Schizosaccharomyces pombe: one gene and its partner. The gene in region 1 interacts genetically with each later gene. Each region holds a gene or a part of one and is shown on either strand. Other genes may lie near its edges.

Region 1 (4,203 bases):
TTACGGGGTCTTTGCCGTGATCACCGTGTTTTCGAAATAATCGTATCTGTGCATCTTTATCCCATAAAAGAGATATTTATTATCCATGTTCTTTCTTTTTATCTCACATTTCTTTTTTTCAAATTAAATAGTAACATTTTTAATTGATAACGCATTTCAATATTCCATATTGTCAATTATGACTTTCCAAGAAGAAAAACAGTAGAATGAAAATACAACGTTGAGGTCAAGATAGGAATTGATTAATAATCTAGATATCTAAATCGTAGAATATTAGAATTTAACTATTATATGAAGGTTTGAATTGGTTTCCGAAGCTATTGTCGTGCTCATAGATACATCGTCTTATAGTAAAACTTAGGAACAATACTAATTTCCGTTAAATTTGATAATGTAAATAATGACAATTACGAATCAAAAAGAAGAGTCTGCTTGCCCTTGTCTGTTACAATAAATAAAAACGGTGACAGCTACATCAAATTTCCTCAACAACAATGATACCAACGACTATGCAATGTTTATTTTGAACATGGTTTTTAAAATTAAATACGCTATTTCATTAATAATCTGGTATTTTCGTTTCAGTCATTCCTAGTAACTAAGTTTAAGGTATCCCTTTGCTTGGGAATTTGAACCAAGACTTGAAAACATGGTAATAATGTCAATTCCAGGGAACAAACAAGCAAAAAAGTCAATTATTAGTTTAAGGGTCCTTTATCTTCTTGGTTTTTAAATATTATTTTTTTTTAATCTTTTATTTTTTCCTCGACAGACGGTATCTCATCCTCCATTAACGCATTATACGCTTTACCCACATGTCTGACCAGGTCAGTTGATTGAGTTGCACGACCACATTCCTTAAACGCCAAACGACTGCACCAGCGAGTACAGGCAGAGGCTCCAAATGCGGCAAGGAAGAGACATTCTTTAGCATCCATATTACCTTCTGTATCCCATTCTTTGCTAAGATAAGCATGTCTCCAAGCAAGGAATGTAGCAAGTATACCAGTTAAAATGTCACCCTGACCACCACAACGTTTAAGACCACCAGGAACGGAGCAAGCATATGCAGTAGCGCCATCGGAAATAATATCGGATTGGCCTTTTTGAATGATGAGCAAATTTAGTTTGCCAGCTAGCTGATTGCAAGCATCGGGTCCGTCACTCTTAATGTCAAGCTTGTCGCAAAGTCTTTTGAACTCAATAACGTTAGGTGTTAAAATTACATTATGATAACCCGAAACCAATTCGGGACGTTGTTGAATTAACCACAAGCCATCAGCATCGATAACCATAGGCATATCATTTTTGCGCGCATACTCAATTACTTTGGCCATAATCTCTTGCATCCATTCATCACGTCCCAATCCAGGCCCAATTACGATGGCATGCAATCTTCCCATCATGGGCTTTATAAGTTCAAAGCATTTATCGACACTATCTTCTGGTCCAGCTTTGTCCTTTTCACGTAAAAATGGATGAACAATCAGATCAGGAGAATAGCTTTTAATGACATTTGCAGCTTCTTTTTCACAAAATATGTGGCTTTGGTCACTGCCGAAGAGCATCGACGACATCGAAGAATAGTACGGAGCACCTGTGTAGTGCTGACAACCCCCAAAAACACCAACTCGACCGGCTTGACCTTTGTGGAAGGTATCAAGAAGTGGTGGAATGATGCGCTTCACACGAGTCAGCAAATTTGTAATTTTGGGAGATCCAGATGTCATGTTGTAATCTTGTTGAGCGAATTCTTCGGATAGCAAAAAATTATAAAGAATTACAATTATAATAAATCAAAAAGTCTTTAAAATTCCTGAATTTTGTATCTCTTAAGTACTGTGAGTGCTTCGGAATACGAATGTTCGGTTATTCTTGGAGTTGGCGTATGTATGATGTTAAGGTGGAAGGTATGATCAAAATGACGCTCAGTGATGAAGTTCAAATGTTCTCGAAAACAAAAAAAAAACGTAAAGAAACCCTTTGTTTTTTAAAAATTTCGCACTGACGATATCAAAAGGATGATCCCCTTGTTCATTACGAAAATCAGCAGTTTGTATAGAGTAAACGAAGTTTGGTAAGAAGATTTGCAAATATTCACAGATATCATGAGATTCCAGTATAATAAGAAAAATTTGATATTAAAAAATCCAAAAGTCCAAATACTACCACTGCTGCAATTAAGAATATCGCTTAGTGGAAAGATAGAAATAAAATTATGAATTCAATCGGAGATGCAAGACAACAGTCTAATGTGATGAAATATATTGAGTAGTTAATATCTCCATAAAGTAAAGGGGCTTTCGTAAGATCTAAACCATATTGTTTCAAGGAGAACCAGTAATGGGGATAATAACATATACGTACCTAGTATGGGTAATTACAGGAAAACAGGGCATTTAGATGTAAATGGAAGCCTTACAGCAATTAAAAAAAAAGAAGAGACAGTGAAAATGATTAGATAAGATACACACGAGATTTGACCAAACCCCCATGAAAACTGCGCATAGCAGTATGAGTTTTATCGGGGATTTGCAAACGACGAAAAGCTTCTAAAACATGAGAAACTTGAAGGGGAGTTCTCCCCTCAGTAAGTCCATCAAATAAACTGCAATTTTTCGGATGATGCGCTGCATGAGAGCCTCCACTACCCGAGCTATTTTGAATCCGATCCATTCGATCTTTCACAGCCAGTGCTTCCTCAGTTAAGGTAGCCACAATCTCAAAGGTCAAGAAGCCAAGTATATCTACAATATCATTATCAGGGCGAGTATCTGTTAGAATAGACATGCCACACCATTCACGAAATCGCTTGCCTTTTCGATAAGTAAAACTGGCTTGTCGACATTCACTCCAATGAACATACTCCTCACGCGTCATTTTCTTCGTGCGTTCATCTGCCATTTTAAGACGTTGTCGCGTCGCATATGCCATTTCCATCGTATCGTTATCTTCTTCAAACTCTTCTGTTTCCGGTACAGGCTCTGTAAACATATTTTTTACTTCCCAAGGCATAGCAACTGCATTCATTGACCTTGTTTTTGAATCTACTTCCTCAAAAAGATCTTTTGTATCGGCAGGATTGGCATCCTGCTCCTTCGCTTTCTTGCGCACTTCCTTCCATGACAGGTATGTCTTTAGTCGATTCACCTTTGCACGATCATGGCGAATTAAGAAAAATAAATCTTCCACAGTAATAGATCTTGAGCCACGTCGTAAAGCTAGCTCATTTGCCTGAATTAACATCTCCATCACTTGTCCACGTATTAGCTCTTCGACTAATTGTGTGGTTTCTGGGAGAGGATCCTGCACCTCCCCTAGAATGAACATCATTTGTTGAATTTCAACACGATATTTACTGGTTCTGCCAGTCTCAGTCATTCCGCATTGCTTATTTTTAACCACTTCCCAAAGTGGTGGGTAGTTGACAAGTTGCTGAACTCCAAACTGACAAGAAAAATATAGTTTCCAGTAAGAAGGACTAATTGATGGGGCATAAAGTGCTTTAAGTTGAAAAAGAAAAACCATTGTCAAACGTTTAGCTTGCAAAAAGCAAACAAATTTTATGAGAGCTGGATACACTATCCAAACTGCAAACCCAGTCCATTCTTTCGTTACAGAACATCCAGTACAACTAGTTAGTGAAGAAGTGTTATTAGAAGAGTAACTCCTGTCTTTTTTTGAAGCATAGGTTTATTAATTTAAGATTGTAAATGTTTGAAATTTTTTACCTTCGTAACTTGTTTACTTCCGTTTAAAGTAGATACTTGAGTAATCTATAAAGTGAAAAGCATCAACTTTCTTTGGTCTGAAACTCTCTTTTGCTAGATCATTCATCTTTGTTGCCATAAATGTAAACACCTTCTAATTATCAGCAATTTGTGATATTACTAGCAATTCTTTAGATTATGTTTTCGTGTTTAGAAGGATTTCATTAGTCTGAGTGATATTGCAATTTCTTCTTAATGCTTCTATTTCGAGCATGCTGTAAAATCGTCTGCTACCAATCTCTGTAATTTTTAATACTTCCAAAATGTTTAAGTGTGACTAGAAACTAAATTGAATACTCTGAACAAATGAATACCCTATTGAAGCCATCACTCATAAATTCGAGGAGTTAATTGCGGGAACATCAAATTGGCGGCTTAGCCTGAACCTCGGAGAAAGGGTCAAAGTGTAATTCTTCTATTATTTAAAAAAGTT
Region 2 (4,334 bases), 1.1 Mb from region 1:
CTATTACATGGCGAGAAACAATTTGTTGGTTAAATTTATTGATTGATCAGTTACCTTACTATTTATTAATGTATAAAATAATCTTGACTATCGATTGATCTAGCAAACGAAACAGCAAGTCTTGTATTTCTGCACGGTTTTCGAATAGAATCGTCTTTATGTTGCTTAAACATTCAGTATGCACATAGCAAGCCCTTTTCTAAACTTCGCTTTCATTTTCAAAAACCGCAATTATTATCTTTTGTACATCATCAGCTGGATTTAAGTAATGTAATCATTACGCTCTCTCAAATACTTGTAACGATTTCGACAAAAAATGATTAATTGATGAAAAGTCAAGTTGAGTTTTTGAACACGCTATGTTGTTAAAAATATTATTCTGGTTTGTCTGGCAGTACAATTGGAACAATATATGTTAAATGCAATAATACATTCGCGATGAAGGACTTTCAAGTACATGGCTATTTTGTGAATTCCTGTGTTTTCTCGATTGTTAAAACAAGGAGATTTTTGGCATATTTGAATTAAACTTGCCATTTCATAAGAAATTTCTATATTTAATATTAATAAAGTTTTTGGGCGTTCCTTTTTCCGCTATTTGCTAGCTCTTCTATACTTTGTTTACACTTTTAAATGTTTGACATATATGCTGCTAATCCTCAAATCGCCTCAATGAATTCTTTTTAAACCAAAAAGAAATCCAGAATTTGTAAAGAATGCAGTAATTGTATTTTGATATTCTTTGAGTATCAGTGAATATAAAATCCGATATAGCAATTGTATCGACTTTGTTGATAATCATTTAGCTTTTTACTATATAGAATAACTTATCTCTTTCAGATATGGAGTATTAATGTTGGCACGGGTTTGGTGTTTGCATTAATGCTTCAGAAAAATAAGTTACGCCAACAGTACTTCCACCTTTGTATAACCATTTTACCTATAAACTTATAATTTATTTCGTTCAGATGTATTTATTTCCTTTCTTTAATAACATTATGTCAAAGGTAGAAATATAAGCAACTAGTTAATTCAAATTTTTATACTTAGACATTCATGTTTTATGTATAAATTCTTTTCAATGCAAAAGCTTGAGCTTGATTATTCTAATAAATTTCAAAAAATTATTTTAATATGTACATATATATTTATAGGTTTTTTTGTCTCAATTGTCCGAAATATTTAGCTTTTTATTTTTATGAATTTTCAATATACACTGGCGATTCTCTCATGAAAAATGAAGCTACCTATAATGGAATAAATATTTTGAAATAGCACATTTTTTATTATATATGTGTTCTCAGTGACTATAGATTATCAGATTATTAAGGGAAGAGAGATTTGAAATAACATAAATTATTTGATATATTAAATTACCGCTCAAGTCAATCACCTCATGGTTTTTATGTTATTAAATAATTATTTTGTTTGACTTTAGGAATTATAAAAAATCACCTTTTTACTTCAGTTTGATTTTAATCGTTGCATATACGTAAAGTAATGTACTTAGAAAAATTTAAGTCCATAATATATGTCGCTAATTTCCCCTTTTTTCTTTTTTAAAAAAGAATAAAATAAAAAAAAAGGTACTAGTAAATTAGCAGTATAAGGTTTTTTGGATTATTATTTACGATCATTTAAGTTAATGAACCAACTCCATGAATAAGTTAAAATTATTTTAATAAAGTGAAAATAAAGGTAATGTTTTTTTTTTTTAGGGATAATTCAAAACACATAATTATTCATGGTAATAAAGGCATCGGTCATTCTTTGTTTTTATATTTCATTTTGTACCCATTTTATGCTTAAAATCCCACGGTTCTAATGTTTGCACGGAGAACACTTTCTTGCAAACTAATCCTAGAGATTTAATAACACGGAATTTCAAGAAAAATATAATTTTGGTTTTCCATAGACTTACTACCTAAATTCAAAGGATCCTGGTTTCCTGCTGATTCATTATTTACCATTTCACAGACTCCATTGTTTGAAGATACTGTTACCTGATCAATCGTTACTTGTGTGTTCATCGATGACAAACTATATGAAAACTACCAATATTCGCAAAATGTCAGGATCGAAGTGCTGTTCGTCTTCAAACACCATAAAGGTGTCCATTTACCTATTTTTACACACGTTAACTTATGGCTTGCTAAATTATCACCTCAATCCACGATTATTAGCTTCCACGGGGGTGGTGGAAAGTGATATTCCTTACTGGATGGTATGCAGATCATTATATAAGTTTAGATTTACTAACAATGGATTGAAAGAGTTATTTATCAATTATTATGCACGTTGGTCAATCTCTTCTGTTGCAGAAATTCAACCTAGGTTATGGATGGCTTTTACTTACGAAATATCCAGTATACGTGCTTCTCTCGACCTACTACCTTACTCCTTTGAGTCAAATTGCTTGGGCATTCATAATTGACGCCATTTCTTTGCTAGTGGCGCGCTGTTTCTCTAGAGCTAACCCCATCAAATGTTCAAACCAAGTCAACACACAGTATAGTGTCTCTTTCCTATTCACAATTATGGCGAGTGTATTGATCAGCGTGCTTAATTATATATCACAAAAGATATTCTTAAACGGTCTTATTCTTGGAAACTCCCATAACGTTGTTACTAGTCTCGTTGCCCCTCCGCTCCCGTTACAATATCTTGCCCATGTACCAATTGGTTACGTTATTCAAAGAGTCGTGTTTAGTGAAAGGCCTATTCCCCAATCATTATTTTTGATGATTTTCCTTACTCTGTGGAATTGCTTTATTCCTTATTCAATTTTGTTTTCAATGAATTGGTCCGCCATGTTCCAAGTGGTGGGTGCTTACTTGTCACAAATTTGGATTATCACTTTTATCTGCTGGGCATTGTCTCTGTAAAGTTCGAGTTCTGTTTCTTTTACATCATTTTTTTTCTTGTAATGTAGTTAGTTGGTTGTTTACTTCCTGGTGGAAGTTCTCATGGGCTTATCTTAATTCATTGTATCTGTTATGGGATTTTCCAAATTTGTCTATATGTCTTTACTCGTGTTCAATAATTTCAGTGAGGTAACGTCAAACTTTTTTCATCAGGTTAATGCCCTTTTTCTTCTCTTTTTCATTTTTCGTTTTCACGGTGGAATTTATTTCTGATGAAGGAGGCAGATTTCTTCTTTCTGAGTTGAACATCATGTGTGGAACTGACTATGAATATATGTAATTTAATGACTGTGGTTTCAAATTGATTCCGAACTCTTTTAAAAGATATCCATTGTGGGATGTTTCGTCCTTTATTCTCATCTATTAGGGTCGCATAGTTTGAATTGGATGATCGTTCAAAAGCAGTATATGGTTATACTTTAAGCAAATGTGAGAAGTCTTTTCGCTGTATATTTTTCCCTCTCGTGATATGAAAAAACAGTTGTTAAGTTCCACTAGTACTATTATATATCATCTGTGGGGCCTTTATATTTACATGACATGTATTTTAAGTGAAAAATCTTTATGCATATCAGAGTACTGTTGTTATTTGGAATCTACCTATACTTACACTTTTGCATAATGTTACGATCTGGCGTTTATTCTGTGCTTTTAATACTTTAGGCAAGTCGCGCTTGCAACCAATCCATGTAGGAAAATATAGAAAATAAACAATTTCTGTTTATTACTAAGCTTCGTTAAGATTTTGCCGTTCTTCTGTTTAGGTATTGTAATTACTTGTAAGTTGCACCGTTCACGAGTGCCAAAAAAAATACTCAATAATCTGACTATAAAGTGTTTAAAGGTATAAGATAATATACTAACCTAATTCATTATTTTAATTTCTAAATCTATTGCAAACTGGTAAACTTTCTTTCAATACCTGCCAATTCGATAATCGTAAAGGCATCTCGCGCATCAAGGAAAACATGAGGTTTAAAGGATCTAAAGCATCATGAAACTGAAATTTATCTTTATTCAACTAATAGAACCTATACTATTTGAAAGCTCAAATTCTACATTATACAGTTTTATAACGATAGTGCAGTAAATCCGATACAGTAGTCTGTTGTTCATGAACTCATTGTTGATCAACCTGTTCATAGCAAGTATGGCGCTAAAAATTAAAATACCAGAAACGTCTCAAGTAAGCTTTATTCCTTTAATTTTTACTTACAACTAGTCTTCTGATGAATATTCACGATGGACGGTTTACCATATTGAAGTAGCATTTCCGAATGGTGGGAAACATGTTGTATTTCGTCGGTTCAATGAATTCGTTGCTTTGGATGCTCAAATTCGGCCAAATGACTACAACAGTAGACTTTGCAAACTCCCCTCTAAATCTTGGGTTTCTTCAACTGTGACAAA

Evidence for each region.
Region 2: mutations in nnr2 (region 1) and bqt3 together harm fitness more than expected from each alone (negative genetic interaction), as found in Schizosaccharomyces pombe (one large-scale study listed by BioGRID).

The regions. Positions count from the first base shown.
Region 1 is NC_003421.2:1,442,180-1,446,382, reverse strand, and holds nnr2 (NADHX dehydratase Nnr2), read right to left. Parts: upstream 1,895-4,203; 5' UTR 1,731-1,894; coding exon 747-1,730; 3' UTR 501-746; downstream 1-500. Other genes in the region: SPOM_SPCC61.04C (Rab GTPase-binding protein), read left to right, coding at 1-40; SAGA complex subunit Spt3, read right to left, coding at 2,458-3,381.
Region 2 is NC_003421.2:366,730-371,063, reverse strand, and holds bqt3 (bouquet formation protein Bqt3), read left to right. Parts: upstream 1-2,046; 5' UTR 2,047-2,068; coding exon 2,069-2,224; intron 2,225-2,273; coding exon 2,274-2,885; 3' UTR 2,886-3,618; downstream 3,619-4,334. Other genes in the region: vsl1 (SNARE protein Vam7), read left to right, coding at 4,075-4,110, 4,147-4,334. UniProt on the Schizosaccharomyces pombe protein: Connects telomeres to the nuclear envelop (NE) during both vegetative growth and meiosis. This connection ensures clustering of telomeres to the spindle pole body (SPB) when cells enter meiotic prophase.